2 linked regions of the Diceros bicornis minor genome follow. The protein of the gene in region 2 interacts with the protein of the main gene of each other region in a biochemical or structural test. Links are inferred from orthologs where the notes say so. Each region holds a gene or a part of one and is shown on either strand. Other genes may lie near its edges.

What was found. The genes of interacting proteins can lie anywhere in the genome.
Region 1: the proteins of STK26 (region 2) and CAB39 are reported together in a solved structure, tested with the Homo sapiens proteins (2 studies listed by IntAct, with this or other methods). The link is inferred for Diceros bicornis minor from reciprocal best matches to the Homo sapiens genes STK26 and CAB39.

The regions. Positions count from the first base shown.
Region 1 is NC_080776.1:19,251,028-19,258,621, reverse strand, and holds the start of CAB39 (calcium-binding protein 39), read right to left. Parts: upstream 3,014-7,594; 5' UTR 2,764-3,013; intron 1-2,763. UniProt on the Homo sapiens protein: Component of a complex that binds and activates STK11/LKB1. In the complex, required to stabilize the interaction between CAB39/MO25 (CAB39/MO25alpha or CAB39L/MO25beta) and STK11/LKB1.
Region 2 is NC_080781.1:120,366,655-120,373,930, reverse strand, and holds the start of STK26 (serine/threonine-protein kinase 26), read right to left. Parts: upstream 3,020-7,276; 5' UTR 2,881-3,019; intron 2,782-2,880; 5' UTR 2,673-2,781; coding exon 2,631-2,672; intron 1-2,630. UniProt on the Homo sapiens protein: Serine/threonine-protein kinase that acts as a mediator of cell growth. Modulates apoptosis. In association with STK24 negatively regulates Golgi reorientation in polarized cell migration upon RHO activation.

The DNA.
Region 1 (7,594 bases), on a different chromosome or scaffold from region 2:
AAGTAACCAGAAGACACTACCTGAAATGAAATTCGGCCCTATATTGGATTTTATTTTTGCATGGTGTTGGGGGGGTGGAGGCGGGGGGGGGGGGCACGATCCGGATGTATGTCTGTATTTTTATGACAGATGGCAAAACTGTGAATGATCAGTGATCAATCCCTCCTGGAAAAAAGGCAGTGATGATAGAAATCTATAACCTACAAAAGTTGATCAAAAGAAAACACTTTAGTAAATATTCAAAAGTAATAAACGATGCTTTGTGGTATACATACTTGCAATATACAAATAAAGATTTAAATAAAACCAAATTATAAAACCAAACCCCATACTTAAACTGGACTTTCTTAGCTATTCTTTTATATTAACTTTATGAAAATTTATACAGTCTAACTCAGCTTCTCACTTTATACGCCATTAGAAAGAGAAACAGAGACCTCATTAATACATTTTAAAATGTAAAGCACCAGGGAAAAAACTGGTTTAAACAAAAACCTGCAATCTGAAATGCTAATGAACTAATAATGAAATGCTAGTGAACTGCTTTGAATCAAAAAACATAAAAGCCCCTTTTGTTATAGCAGCAAATTATTTCATGATAAATTCTATATTTTACTAAAGAAATACCAATAGAAAAACTAAATACATCTAGCCTGAATCTTTGTGATGTCATGATCAAAAAGTGGATGGCCCTAGCATAAAGACTATTTTTTTCGGGGGGGGGGGTGAAAAGGGAAAGTGAGGTGCATTACTGTATGGGAGATTATACCAGCTATGAAAGTAATCTTTTTATAATGCCTTTTTAAAAGTACATCCACTCATATAGCAGAGATGTGAGATCTCTCCCATACCTGATGACAGCACGCACCCCTAGTAATAAAACCTTTCTCTAGTCAACAAGCAATAGGACTCAAATCTTACAAAGAAGTTAATAAATACACTTCAAACAAGAAGCCTTTATAACAAGTTCTGTCCACAGTAGCAGTTATTAAGCATGACTACTGCATTTTATCTGAGGTAAATAATGCAACCTTGTCCAAAAAAAATAATACATTTAAGACTTCCCTTACTTGAGTAAAAATATTTTTATATGAAGACATTTAATGACCAAAAAAGAAAAGCTTAATAAAAGTTTTTTACACATATGCAGTTTATTTCATCATGTAAAGAAAAAAAAGACTGAAAAGGAAACCAACAAACGTTCTAAGCTGCTCCCATAAATCATATACCCTAGACTTCAAATACAGCTGCTAATTATTTGCTACTAATTAGAAAAAATGTACAAAATAAAGCTAAAGACTCACTTCTGGCTCTCCTATAAATATTTTCATAACTAAAAACTCCAAGAAATTTTTACCTTTCTATAAAAGGGTTCTATGTCCAATTTTCAATCTCAGATTAGTAACAATCTGATTTCTTAAAATCATCAATTTAGATTGGTTTACACAAAGGCCATCTCAAAGAAGTTATGTTCAGCTCAGTAATCCTGAAGTGTAGACACCTAATACACAGCGCAAGAAGTTTTGGTGCATTTTAGTGAACTGCACCAACAGAAACGCCTCATGCGCACACGAGCTTATTTTATTCACATCTTTCCATTAACTCTTAAGAGCCTAACATCTAATGAAGCTTTTTGCAAAAGGTACTTTGCTTAGTCTGGACATGGATTTATTTGAATATCCGGGAAGCTGTCAAAATCGATCTCAAAGTGCATTATATTCAAGGCACAGAACGTCAACTCCTTCCTGGGCTCCTCTCTTTTCTTTCACAAGAGCGCCTTTAACATCCCCTAGCTTACATTTCCGGACTCATGAGTCACTCAGAAACGAGCTCTAAGTTTCCCTCAGAATGGCACTCAAACAGCTCCTCTACAGCATTCAAGGATCTGGCCCCCAAATACCTCTTTAGCCCATCCCCACTCCCCCACCACGGCCCTAGGCAACAAACTGAATTATTCACTATTGCTAGACTACGTCTTTTTACCTTTGTCCTCTAGCTTTGCTGCCCCTCCACACATCGTCTCTTCTGCAACCCTCCTCTCCCAAATCCCATGGGGCCTTCAAGACCCTGCTTGGCACCGCCTCGCCCAGGAAGCCTTCCAGATTTCTGCTGGGCGGAAGTGATCGATGGGTCGTGTCTTCCCTGGGTGCCTTCCTAGCACCTTGCAGTTCTTTCACGGGACTTATCACCTCCTTCCTGGTATCGTATTATTTGTGTGCTACTCCTCTTATCTCCCACACCAGAGCGGTAGCTCCTCGGGGGAGGGGACCGCGGGCCCCGCTTCACCTTTGAATCCCTCGGGCGCGGACCGACCGGGGCGCCAGCACGCAGTCGGCGCTCGAGGTGGCTCAACCGAACTCGGGGACGCTCCGGCCGCGCCGTTCCCGACCGGAAATCGGTTAGGCATTTTCCCGAAACGAGGATCACAGAGATGCGATCTGCCTCCCGGGAACAGGAAGTTGCCCCGGGGCCGGGAGCGGGGCGGCCGGGCCTGGGTGCGGTAGGAGTGACAGCTGGCCCGGCCCGCACGTCCCTGCCCTCCCGAAGCCGGCCGGGGACGCCCCCGCGCCGCGCGGAGCCCCGGCCGCAGGCCCCCGGGCGCCGCGCCGGCGAGGGCAGGGGAGGCTGCGGAGGGGCCCGGGCCGCCGGGCAGGGCAGGCCCGAGAAAATGGAGGCACCCCGGGGCCGGTGACGGGCCGGGCAGGGCAGGGCAGGCGGAAGCCGGGCAGCGTCCGCGCCGCGAGCAGGGCCGGGGTCACTCACGGGGCTCGGCCGGGCGGCTCCCTCTCCGCCTCCGCGTCGTCGCCGTCCCCGTCCTCGGCCGCCGCCGCCTCGGGCTGCGCGCTCGGTCCCCGCGGCGCGGCTCGGGCGCTCGGCCCCTCCGTCGTCTTCCGCCCGCTCCTGCTCCGGGCGACGGGCTCCCGCGGCGGCGGCGGCGGCTGCGCGGGCGGACGGCGGCCCAGGGGCTCCCGCGAGGGCCGCCGCACTGCTGCTCGCGCTCGCGCGCTCGGGCTGCGGCTGCGCCTGCTGCTGCGGGGCCCGGCGCCGCCTTAGCCCCCTCGCCTTCCCCGGCTCCTGGACGCTCGGTCTCCCCCAGGCCGCGCCGCTCCCCGCTCGCGGCCCGAGCCCGGCTTTGACGTGCGCACTGCGCAGCCGCCGAGGGCGCGACGTCGGGCGGCGCCGCAACGCCCCCCTCGGCCTCGGGCGCCCCCGGGCGGCCGGGCGGACTCAGCGCCGGAGTCCGCGCCCAGGCCCAAGCGAGAGCGGACGCAGAGAAAAGCAGAAGCCAGGGCGAGAGTTCCTCTTCTGTCATCTGCCTCTTAAATGTCGGTGCTCAGCCCTTTCTCGTCTGTCTAAGCACTCGTCCTGGCGGAATCCCTCGCCCGCTTTCTACGACCACTTCCTCAACTCTTAACAAAGCTTTATTTCTGCTAAAGGCCAGGAGCTGACTTGGTGTAGACGACTGTTTCGTACTTTCGATGGACTTAACTCTCACTTGAGCATCCTCTGTAGCATCCTCTCCTGCGTGGAAAGTGATGGAATGATCCAGATTAATAGGACTCAACAGCCTGGATTTAAGTCCCAGCTCCAGGGGCCGGCCCGTGGCTTAGCGGTTAAGTGAGCGCGCTCCGCTACTGGCGGCCCTGGTTCGGATCCCGGGCGCGCACGGTCGCACCGCACCGCTTGTCTGGCCATGCTGAGGCCGCATCCCACACACAGCAACTAGAAGGATGTGCAACTATGACATACAACTATCTACTGGGGCTTTGGGGAGGAAAACGGAAAAAAAGGAGAAGGATTGGTAATAGATGTTAGCTCAGAGTCGGTCTTCCTCAGCAAAAAAGAGGAGGATAGACATGGATGTTAGCTCAGGGCTGATCTTCCTCACACACTCACAAAAATAACAGCTGAAGAAATAAAACATATGTTATTTAAAAAAATAAATAAATCCCAGCTCCATCATTTAGTATCCATGGCCTATTTCATGTCCCTGTGCCCGGGTTCCTTCACACACACGCAAGTGTAATAATAATAGAGCACCATAGGCTTATGAGAATGAAGGAGATAATGCATTGCAAGGCTCTGACAAGAGACTGGTACATAAAAATGCCATACATGTATATTTTTGTTTCTTTGTTTTTAATTGGTAATTGAACAGGTATTTTCAGTATCCACTGTGTGCCAGGCACTATTCTAGGTGGTGGGGCAGTGAACGAAACTGTCCCTGCTCCTGAGACAACCAACTAAACAAACCAATACACATTATGATACTGGATGGTCTTAAGTGCGATGGAGAAAAACAACACAGGCTAAGGAGGGGAGAGAGTGCAGGGTATCTATTTATAGTCCTCCCACAGGGAGCAGCTACAACAAGAAAGAGCATGCTGAGAGCTGCGTGCGTGGAAAGGCAGAGGGAACAGCAAGGACCAAGCTTTTGAGGTGGGAATGTGCTGTGGAAGCTTGAGGGGCGCAGTGGAGCGCATCAAGGCGAGAGCACTGAGTGAGGGGAGCCGGTAGAGATGGGGTGAGGGGTGTGGGTAGCGTATAGACGAAAGTGAAGACTTTGGTTTTTACTCTGAACGAGATGGGAAGCTATTTGGAGGGTTTTGAGCAGAGAAAGGATGTGGTCTGACATTTCAAAAGGATCACGCTGCTCCTGGTGTGAAGACCAGCCTGAAGGGCCTGAGGGTTTCAGCTGGGAGACCAGTTTGAAGGCTTTTGAAACAATCCTGTCAAGAGAAGACAGGTTTGGTCTAGGGTGGTAGTCGTGGAGGTGTAAAGAAGCGGTCAGGTGCTAGACACATTTCAAAGGTAGAGCTGACAGGATTTTGCTGATTTCTAAGTTTTTTTTTGTTTTTGGGTTTTTTGCCCTAGCAACTGGAAGATACAATTTGGTGAAGTGGGGAAGACAAACAGAAACAGATGTGAAGGGAGGAACTGGGGAATTTATTTGGGGGCATATCAAGTTTGAGCTGCCTGTTAGACACCCAAGTAAGAAGCTGGATCTAGAAGTCTGGGGTTTGAAGGGGAGGTCCAGGCTGAAGAGAGAATTTCGAGAGGCTTCAGAATAGGTAAAATCTCAGGACTCAATGAGATCATTTAAGAGAAAGAGTGTTAATACAGGGCAAGGCCAAGGACGAGGCCGAGGCCCCCGACACTGAGAGGTCAGGGAGATGACAAGGAACCAGCGAAGGATTCTGAGCAGAGGGTGGCAGAAGGAGACCCAGGAGAGCATCGTGTGCTGGGCGACCAGGGATGGAGCATGGATCAGTGCCACGATTGCGGCTGTAATGCAAGGAAGGTTGATGTTGGTGTCAGCACCACAGAGGTAACCAGTGGTGTGGGGAAAAGCTATTTCAGCAGGGATGGGTAGGAAAGCCTGATTGGAGTGATCTCTAGAAAGAATGAGACCTAGAAAGATCTCTAGAAAGGATGGGGCTCTAGAAAGAGACACCACGAGTGTAGACAACTTTTTCTTGAAGTTTTGCTCTACAGGGGAGCACAGAAATGGGATGGTAGCTGGAGGGGAATGTGGGGTCAAAGCTGATTTTTTTGTTTTATTTCGTTTTGTTTTGCTTTTAGGATGGGAGCTATTACAGCCGGCTTAAGTGCTGATGGGAATGATTCAGTAGTGAGAGAAAATTTGATGATGCAGGTGGGGGGGCATTTTCTGGGGAGCTGTCCTTGAGTGAGCAAGAAAAGGTTGCCGCGCACAGCGGAAGGGCTGGCCTTGGATACCAGCAAGGCGGCGTCCACTCACAGTAATAGAGGGCAGGCAGAGTGTAGGCACAGAGGCAGGCAGCCAGCTGGACAAGGCGCTGGCACATGTGGATGTTCCCTTCTGAAGGCTTCTGTTTTCTCAGGGAAATAGAAAGCAAGGTCATCAGCTCCTCGTGTGGAGGGTGGGGAGGTGTCAGAAGTTTGAGGGGAGAGGAGATGTGAAGAAGGACCAGTCAGAGGGGTTATTCTGTGTTTTTCTGTTGGCCACGTTTTGCTGGGAAGGTGCAGGCACAGGAAGGTGGGGAGTTGGATGCAACCAGGGTTATTTCTGCTAGATAACTCCATGGAGAGAGAAAGGGGAAAGGAAGGCGAGGGTTATATACAGGAAGTAATAATAATAATGACCAACTGTTGAGTCCAAGCCAGTAAGGAGGGAGTGAGAAAATGCAGATGAGTATGGGGGCAGTAGGAGGGGAGACACCCTGTAAAAGTGATAGGATCAATGGAATGAAACGTGTGTGAAAGGATTGTTAGAATCAGCACCGTAGGGAGAATGAGCTGGAAAGGAGGAGGTGCTAGCTGAGAGCCGGGTTGCTTACACTGAGATTACGGAAGGAGCAGTGTACAGTAATGACAAGATCTGGGGCGTCTTCTCAAACGGTAATGTCCATATGCGTTACCAGGGGTCTTGTTGAAATGCAGATGTCGATTCCATTGGTTCAGGGGAGGGCCCATGATTCTGCATTTCTAACAAGTTGGGAGTCGGATGGGATGCTGATAATTCTTATTCTTGTTACGGCCATGATACCAAAGCCTCAATAAATACAACACACACAAAAAGAAAGCTAGACTAATCTTGCTAGAGAATATATATGAAAAACCTAAATAAAAAGTATGAAATAGAAGTAAAATAACAGCGTGTTAAAAGTGAAGTCCATCCCAATCAAGGACAATTTATCTCAGGCAGAAGCCATTAGAAAAACATAGCTGTCTAGGGACTGTTTCGGCTCGGAGGGAAATCAGCTGAAAAATCCCTAGCAGGCTGGTTCGTGGAGCTTCTCTTCGCTTCTCTCTAGAAACTGTGGAAGGGAGGGAGGTGCACCACCCTCTCCAGTGAGCCGACTGCAAGTTTTATCTAATTTGAAACTTTGTTCAATAAGACTTCACTCCCACGGCTTTTTTTTTTTTTTTAATTGTAGTCCCAAGGGGAGGCCTTTATTGGGCTGATATTCCACAAAAACAAGTCAGGACCTAATTTCTCACAGAATAAAAGAACGCGTGGAAGTGGATAATCCTATATGCAGGAGTTTGAGTCCTTTGCTTTAAGGGTCAGAGCAGGATTCCAGGTTAATCTCTTCACTGGGATAAGCCCACTACAGTTGAGAATTGTGGCAGCCAATTTCTGGAGAGGGATTTGTAACAAATTCCGAAGCCAAAGTGGAAGGAGCCATGTCATTTGCCCGCTTGAATTTACACTGGGAAGACACCTTCTCAATCCTTCCACTGAGCTCTCTGGAAAGCCCTTTCTATTAATATATTTCTTTGTAGGTACAACCTCTTTCTGGGAAATTCCACCACCTCTTCATCTTGAAACCCTCTCCAGAGGCCCCTCACTCTCCTGTGCAGTGTCTGCAGAGCTCAGGTTCATAAGGCAGGGTCGTTATTATCCTGGAGTCAGTGTTGATCCTGTCAATCCTGTAACTCTTCCCTCACTTTCATTTCCTTTCCTCTCCTCCGATGAAGCTGGGCCCTCAGTGAAGGCACCTCCCTGCCTTAATCACACCATCTATGAAAGGACTTTGGAGCCTGACTCATGGCTTCCTTGCTTACCCCACCCCGTATCTGACGTCTCCTGGGCAACGCAGATGCCACT
Region 2 (7,276 bases):
AATTTCTTTGTTCGAAAGTCAGGAATGCTGGAAGTCTTAAGTGATAGAACAGGTAGCTCAGCTTGTACTTCACGTCTCTCCTCAGGGGGAGAAAAACACTGTGAATAAAGTAATTTTGTTTTTATTTCTGGAAAAATCATTTTTTCCATCAATCTTCATAATTCTCTAAAATAAACTGTTAAAAAGTTATAGGCCGGTCGACCACTTCACCCTGATTTGTGGAAATACTATACATTAATTTCAGGAACACATGGCTAACTCAAGTTTTCTTACTACTCAAAAGGTCTAAAAGTTGCTCCTAACTCTTTAACAAAACTGTAGGAGAACTTTACAAGCTCATGGTATATTTCTGCATCTCATCTGCAATATTTTTGAACAAAAGAATAGTAAAAGTAGTCTGGGCTCAGGAGTCACACTGCATGCCATCAAATTTATTTTTAGGATACTGTACAATTTTAACTGTGGAAAACTTTTGTGTTGCACAAAATGCTTAAGAACCACATCCACAAAGAAAATGGAAATAAGAAGTTAAGAATTTACCATTTCATTAAGACAGAGAAAGTGACAAATAAATATTCCTCTCTTCTTTGCTAATATTGAATGATAGCCCTCCCCAAATTAGGTTGGACAAAGTATTCACAACTTTGGGAAGGCATAAACTGAAAGGCAGAATTTGTAATTTAAAATATGTGATTCACATTCTAAGCCACCTTAATTAAGATTTAAAAATTCAAGAGATAGTGAACTCAGATAATTAAACAAAGCAGGGGGCAAAAAGAAATACTGAACAGCAAGCAATTCCTAAACCAATCAAATAAAGACAAATCAAATAAGGACCAGAAACCATATAAATCAAATAAAGTCAAGAGAAATGAATAAAGACCACAAACCATTTTCTCCTCGGCACACAGTGTTCCCCAGAATCACAAGCTTGATGAACTGGAGGCACTCACCCTGCTGACGCAGGCACGTACGCACGCAGGAGGGCGCACACAATGGAGAGAGAAGCATGGAGACCCTTAGAGACAAACTTTACATCTGTAACATTCTACCCTCCACATAATGGAAGAGAGAGCACTGCGGGAAATTTTTCGCACTTTCTTCCACATCAGACAGAGCAAAACTGTAGTTATTATTGCAAACTACTAATTCTCTTGATACAATCAAAGTTAGGACTGAATGAATGGAGTGTAGGGCAGGATGGATGAGGGAAAGAGGGAGGGAAGGATGGGGGGTGGCCTTAGAAGCAAGTTTGAAGCGTTTCGTAAAGCTTGAATGGATTAACCTTTTAAAAAGCCCTAATATTTCTCATTTCCTCTTTTCTTCCTCTCTTCTTTATTAAATACACACCGACTTCCTGGGACTCAACACAGACTTGCCCTACATTCAGCGAAAAGGCCTGGTGCTTAGTACACACGGGAATCGTAGGTTTGATATATGTCTGACACAAATGGTCCTTGTTTGGGAAGGTATTTTAAAAATCACTTTTTTTTGTGACCATGCATAAAATGTGACCAATTGCTAAAAAAGGATGAATTCCATGCATCAGTTAGTAAATTGAGGCCCCAATGCACAGCACTTTGATTTCTACTAGAAACATAAGCAGTCTATTTACTACTCTAAACATTTTTTTTCTGAACTTGGAAAAAGTTTGCTTTCACATTTTTCGAAGATAATGAGGGACGGAGGCTTTAGTGTTGCTAGCCTCTGACCTATTCATAAATGGGTTGTTTAGGCTATCTAGCAAAGGAAAAAAATAAAACGTGAATGCTTAAAAGTAGTGTAGACTTGGATAAAATCTAGTAGATAGCTTGAAATGCACGGATTTAAAAACATAGCATAAAAAATGTATGGACATAGCTTATTTCTTCTTTAATAAAATGAAAAATAATGGGGGGCTGGGTAGATCTCGAGTAAGAAGTTGGGTCCCATGCTGTAGTCCCTTGTCCAGGACAAAAAGCTTTCTTTAAGCACACTCAACAGTCATCTTGTGGGAAAGGCAGCGGGAGGGGACTGGGGAGTCATCATCTCGGCGACTCGGACCTAGGACCCTGCATTTCTCACGCCATACTATAGGCTGGGCCATTGGGGGAGCGAGATACAACTTTGCCCTTCAGAAGCAGCACCAAAAGGGGAAAAGAAGTCACCTCGCTCTTCGTTTTACGCACACAGGAAGAGCCCAATTCAATGCCGCCGCCACCGACACCCCCTTGTCTTGCTCCGCCCCAACTTGTGTGTATGGTAGGACAGCACGACTTGCGTTTTACCCCACAAATTCCGAGACGCCTCCATCTCTCCAAAATTAAGTCCTCCCACCTCCAATCCCCAACCGTATCACGCTCAGCAGGCGCAGGTGTCTCGCTCTGGCCTATTTTTATAAGCCCCCCCCCCCCCACATCCCCACCTCATTGCGCGCCCCAGTCCCTCCCTGCCTTCCTCGCGCAGTGCACTACCTAGCCTAAACTCCAAGAAAAACTTAGAGCCCTTTTCCTGGGACACCTGGCCAGAGCACCCGGCCCTGCCTTGAGGGGAGCCCTGGGGCCGCCTCTCGTCGCCGGTGCCCAGCGCGGAGCGCGCACCGGGCTCCCGGGCAGTCACGTGGGCGGCGGGGGAGGCCTGGGCTTCCTCACCTGCATCCCGGGCACTTGGACAGCCACCGGCGAGTGGGCCATGAAGGCGACTGCTGCTCCACACTGCTTCTTCGGCGGTGGCGCCTTGGGCTCGGACTGGCTCCTCCTCCAGGGGTAGCTCCGCGGCCCTCCCAGGCTTTTCGACCGGGGCCTGGAAGGACACACAGAAGTGGGGTTACTGGGCTGGTAGCGCGTAGCCCAGACTGGGAGGTGGGCAGCTCGCGGCGCGGTTCTCTGGGACTCAGTCTACCTTTCTGGCGCCCGCCCGGCGCTGCTGCCGCCGCCGCCGCTGCTGCTCCTCCTCCTGAATGCGGGGCGCTGTGTGTGGCGGTGGCTGGGACCTGGGCTCGAGTGATGCCGCTTGTCTGCGCCTCGCCGCTTTAGGAAGAGGAGGTGGAGGCGCCCCAGCAACCCGCCCGCTCGCCTGGCCCGGGAGGCGGTTGGGGGCGGTTCCGCCGTTGGCCCTGCCCCCGCCCCGCAGCCGGGCGGTGTCAGGAGAGCTAAGGCTCCACGCAGTGAAGGGGTTTGGCTGGAGTTGCTGGAGCCTGCGAAGGGGGACACTCTCCCGGCACACGGAGAGGAGACCCTGAGGACTGCGGGACCTGGAACGCGGCTCGGCCTGGAGAGAGAATGAAAGAGTTTGGTGACCCTGGGGGTATGAGAGCGTCCCAGACGCGGCCACGTTGCAGGCAGGCGTGCGAGGCTGGGGCACACGCAGCCTCGGAGGAGACGTCTTGAACTGAAACTTGGGGAGTGTTGGAAATCTTTCCTGGCTCCCTGATCTGGTCGAGGGTGGGGGCACAGAGAGCCACCGAGTCAGTGGACCCCTGCTCATTCCCGCGGTCCGGTCTCCTCAGCCTGCGGCTGCGCCACTGGGCGGATCCGTAGCCACTCTCCTGTTTTCCGGATTCTTTGCCCCCAGACGTGCTTCAGGTGACTTAAACCTGAGGCTACGGCTACCTCTGGGGCTATCAGTTGGTGGGGGACGGCCAGACTGGGGCTTCTCTTCACCACAAGTTCTGCACGTGTAAGAGAGAGGGAAATTGGAAAACAGATGGTATATCGGCAGAAAAATTAATGAGGATAATAGAGGCATGGGAAATGAGATCGGATCATTAGCAGTCCATATTATTGAACTCAGCATACACAGCAGTGGTTTCGGCAACTCCCAGCCTCCACTCCATTTTAAGTTCCACTCCAGGAGGGAGACAAGCTCATTTGAGAGCACCCTAATAATAACAACGGTAACAACGATAATAATAGTAATTACGGGAATCGCATTATGAAGGTACCTTTGGGAACCTGCAAGGGGTTAATTACGTTTTTAAAATGTAATATCCAAGTGCCAGTTTAAAATGAGGATGAAATTCCCTACCTTGCAGGTTGCTGTAGGTCTGTACCCAACACAGTGTTGGGGCTCTAGTAGATGCTCAATAAATATTTCTCTTATTCCTTTTGAATCTTTCTCAAAAGATAGCATATTACTGTTATCAATATCGTTATTATTAATGGATGCCATTTCCTTTGCCCCAGGGATTGCTAAGTGCTATATGTATGTTATCTTATTGAATCTTTACGAGGGCCCTCTGAGGTCATATTGCTTTTCTCTCATTTTACACAGGAAGAAAATATCACACAATTAAGAAGTGGTAGAGCTGGGAATTCAAACCCAGGTCTTATTTCACTTAGCATAATGCCCTCAAGGTCCATCCATGCTGTCACAAATGGCAGAATTTCCTTTTTTATGGCTGAATAATATTCCATTGTATGTATATACACCACATTTTCATTATCCATTCAGATGATAAAGGATATTATTGCATTTTCCTTATTCCCGATTCCCCAAGTCCAGGCCCTCACTACTTCTAACCTGGTGATAGGCCTCAACCCAGTCTCTATTTTCCACCAGCCCAGCTCACACTTAACAATGCCAGCCTGACCAGAAACCTGCAGTGCCACGCAACTTTAATGTCCATAGTGCAGATTTTGATTTAGCCTTCCTCATTGCTCCAAGCCCTCCTTCAAACTTCTCCTCTTGCACCCACATTGTAGTTTTTTCTTATTTCGTGCATTTCATTTGTTTATTCTGCCCAACAAGATTATTGGGTGCTTGAGGCCAGAGATCCAGCTTTTCTTACATAAGAATTATTCAGGTAGGATGTCAGCTCTCTGAGGGCAAGATTTTTGTCTGTTTTGTTCACTGCTGTATCCTCAGAACCTAGAACAATGTGTGGTACATAATAATCCCTCACTAGCTATTTGTTGAGTGAATGAATGAAGGGATTTCCTTTGAATTCTTCACTGAGGTTAGTATAGTGCTAGCCACACTCTGGGTACACTGTATGTTTTATTGATGCCTGGTTAAACTCCTAGGCACTGCTTTTGCTGAATCTTTAAATTGTTAACTTTATAATATGTTACACCTTTCACTTTTTTTGTCTTCTAAATTCTTTCCAGTTACTTTGATTTCACAACCACCTAAGAGCAAGTTGTGTAATTTTAATAAATAAGTAAATTAAGCATATCTTTGAAGTCACTTTCCCTGGCATCATTCTGGGCCAGAGTTATGAAAGAACGTGGAAGACTGAATGCTAAATTTTGAGACCTGAACTATTGAGACATTTCCTTAAAAATACTGCTTTAAGATCTTAGTAAACTTTTTGACCTTGTTTAGGCCTACTGTTATTAAATAAACTATCTGGTGGTGTTATTATTGATAGAGATCACTTGAGTTTTTACATGGAGTTCCTTGTGGTTTGCGTATGCTTTTTCATATATATATATTTTTCAATTTTAATAAAATGATAAGAAATTCAGATGTGCTTTGGTACTCCCCCTCAACAAGGACACTTGAATATTTTACTTCAAAATGTCAGGCCAGAGTCTAATAATATATTACAACATATTCCCACAGCTTGATGGAAAAAGTTCCTCGAGGGGAGACACCACATCTTCCACTCTTTGGCAGCCCCATAGAATGTAACATAGTGCCTCACATAGGATTTGGTACCTGCTTGATTGATGTGACCTGAGTGGTGATGAATACTTAATAACCATATAGATAAAGTAAGATTGTATACAGATTAAGCGAAGTCAGTGAATTCCAAGTTAGACAGTGTCCTTGATCCCCACCAAACTTAATAATTTAAATTTACAATCTGTGGTTTCAGTTTCCTACATTTGTCATACCCTCAATATTAAATATTTACCTTTATCCGTGTTTATAAATATTTACTGAATGGCCTGGTTCAGAGCTAAAGTGTAAGTAGGCAGAAATGGCTAAATTTTAATGTAGGCAAAAGTGACATAATGTATTAGGGCCATGGTTCTCAACCAGGGTCATTTTTGACTCCTGGAGACATTTTTGGTTGTCACAAATGGGGAGGAGAGGGTGCTACTGGTAATGGGTAGAAGCCAGGGATGCTGCTAACCATACTCCAATGCACAAGACAGCCCTCACAACGAGGGATTACCCAGCCCAAAATGTCAAGGGTGCCAAAGTTTGAGAAACCATGCTCTATACTCTTTGCAATAGAGGTTACTAACCAAAAAACAAACTTGGGAATTACTGTTCCCTGAGGATTTCAGTTCCATGTGATGGCTAGGGCCAAAAAAAAAAAAAACACCAAAAAACCTCACAAGACATTGGGCCACAGCACGGGGGTACTGGAAACAAAACAGTATTTTTATATTACCTTGTATTAAACCATAGATCATCTGCCTCGAAAGAGTGAATACTACCTAATGAAAAATAATATCGATCATAAAATAACTTTAAGAAAAATTTAATGATTTGTCTAAAAAATAATTTAATCATGTAGCATGTTCTAATGTACCAGGCAATACCTAGGAGCCTTCAAATATGTTACTTCATTGAGGTAACTTTGACCTCTTACCCCACTTTACAAAATTTAAAGGTAGGGTTTAACATTTTGGACTTTCACGTTTTGAGCCTAATAACTACATTGAAATGTATAAAGTGTAAAAATGTATGAAGTGTAAGGGCAAATGGATACAATTATCTGAATTTCTTTCAATTCTCTGAATATTTGAAACCAAAGGAAGTTATCTGGGTAATTCTAGAAGCTCACCATCCAGTGATAGGAATATTTTGATTCAAGCTACCAGACTCTGTACTGATATTTGGAAGTACAACATTCAAGAGTCTTTTGTATATACGTATATATATATAAAAGCATATGTGATACCTCAAATCTCTTCTTTACTCTCTTGGTTTCTCTCTTGGAAACCATGATATAATAGTTCTTGCAGATGTTGTATCCTTGCTATTGTTCCAGCAAAGCATCCCAAGGAAAAACCTATGGAATCAATTCTCGGTCAGGGAGCATTAAATCTGTATAATTGCTTAATTCTCCTGAATAACCTTGCACCTTTTGGGGCTTGCACAGTACTCTACCATAGTATCATTTATAACAAAAACTAGTATCTAAGACTCGTCGCAGCTGAATTTTCTTACTAACTTTACTTCCTGACACTACTGAGAGGAATAGAGCAACAGAGGAGGTGGGTCGAAGCAGATGCCGCTTAAGTGGTTTCCTGCTTATAACATTTCTTTACATATACCCTTACTCACTTTGAAATATTTGCGTTTTGGTACCAAAAGAAGCGAGCTCATTACTTCTTGC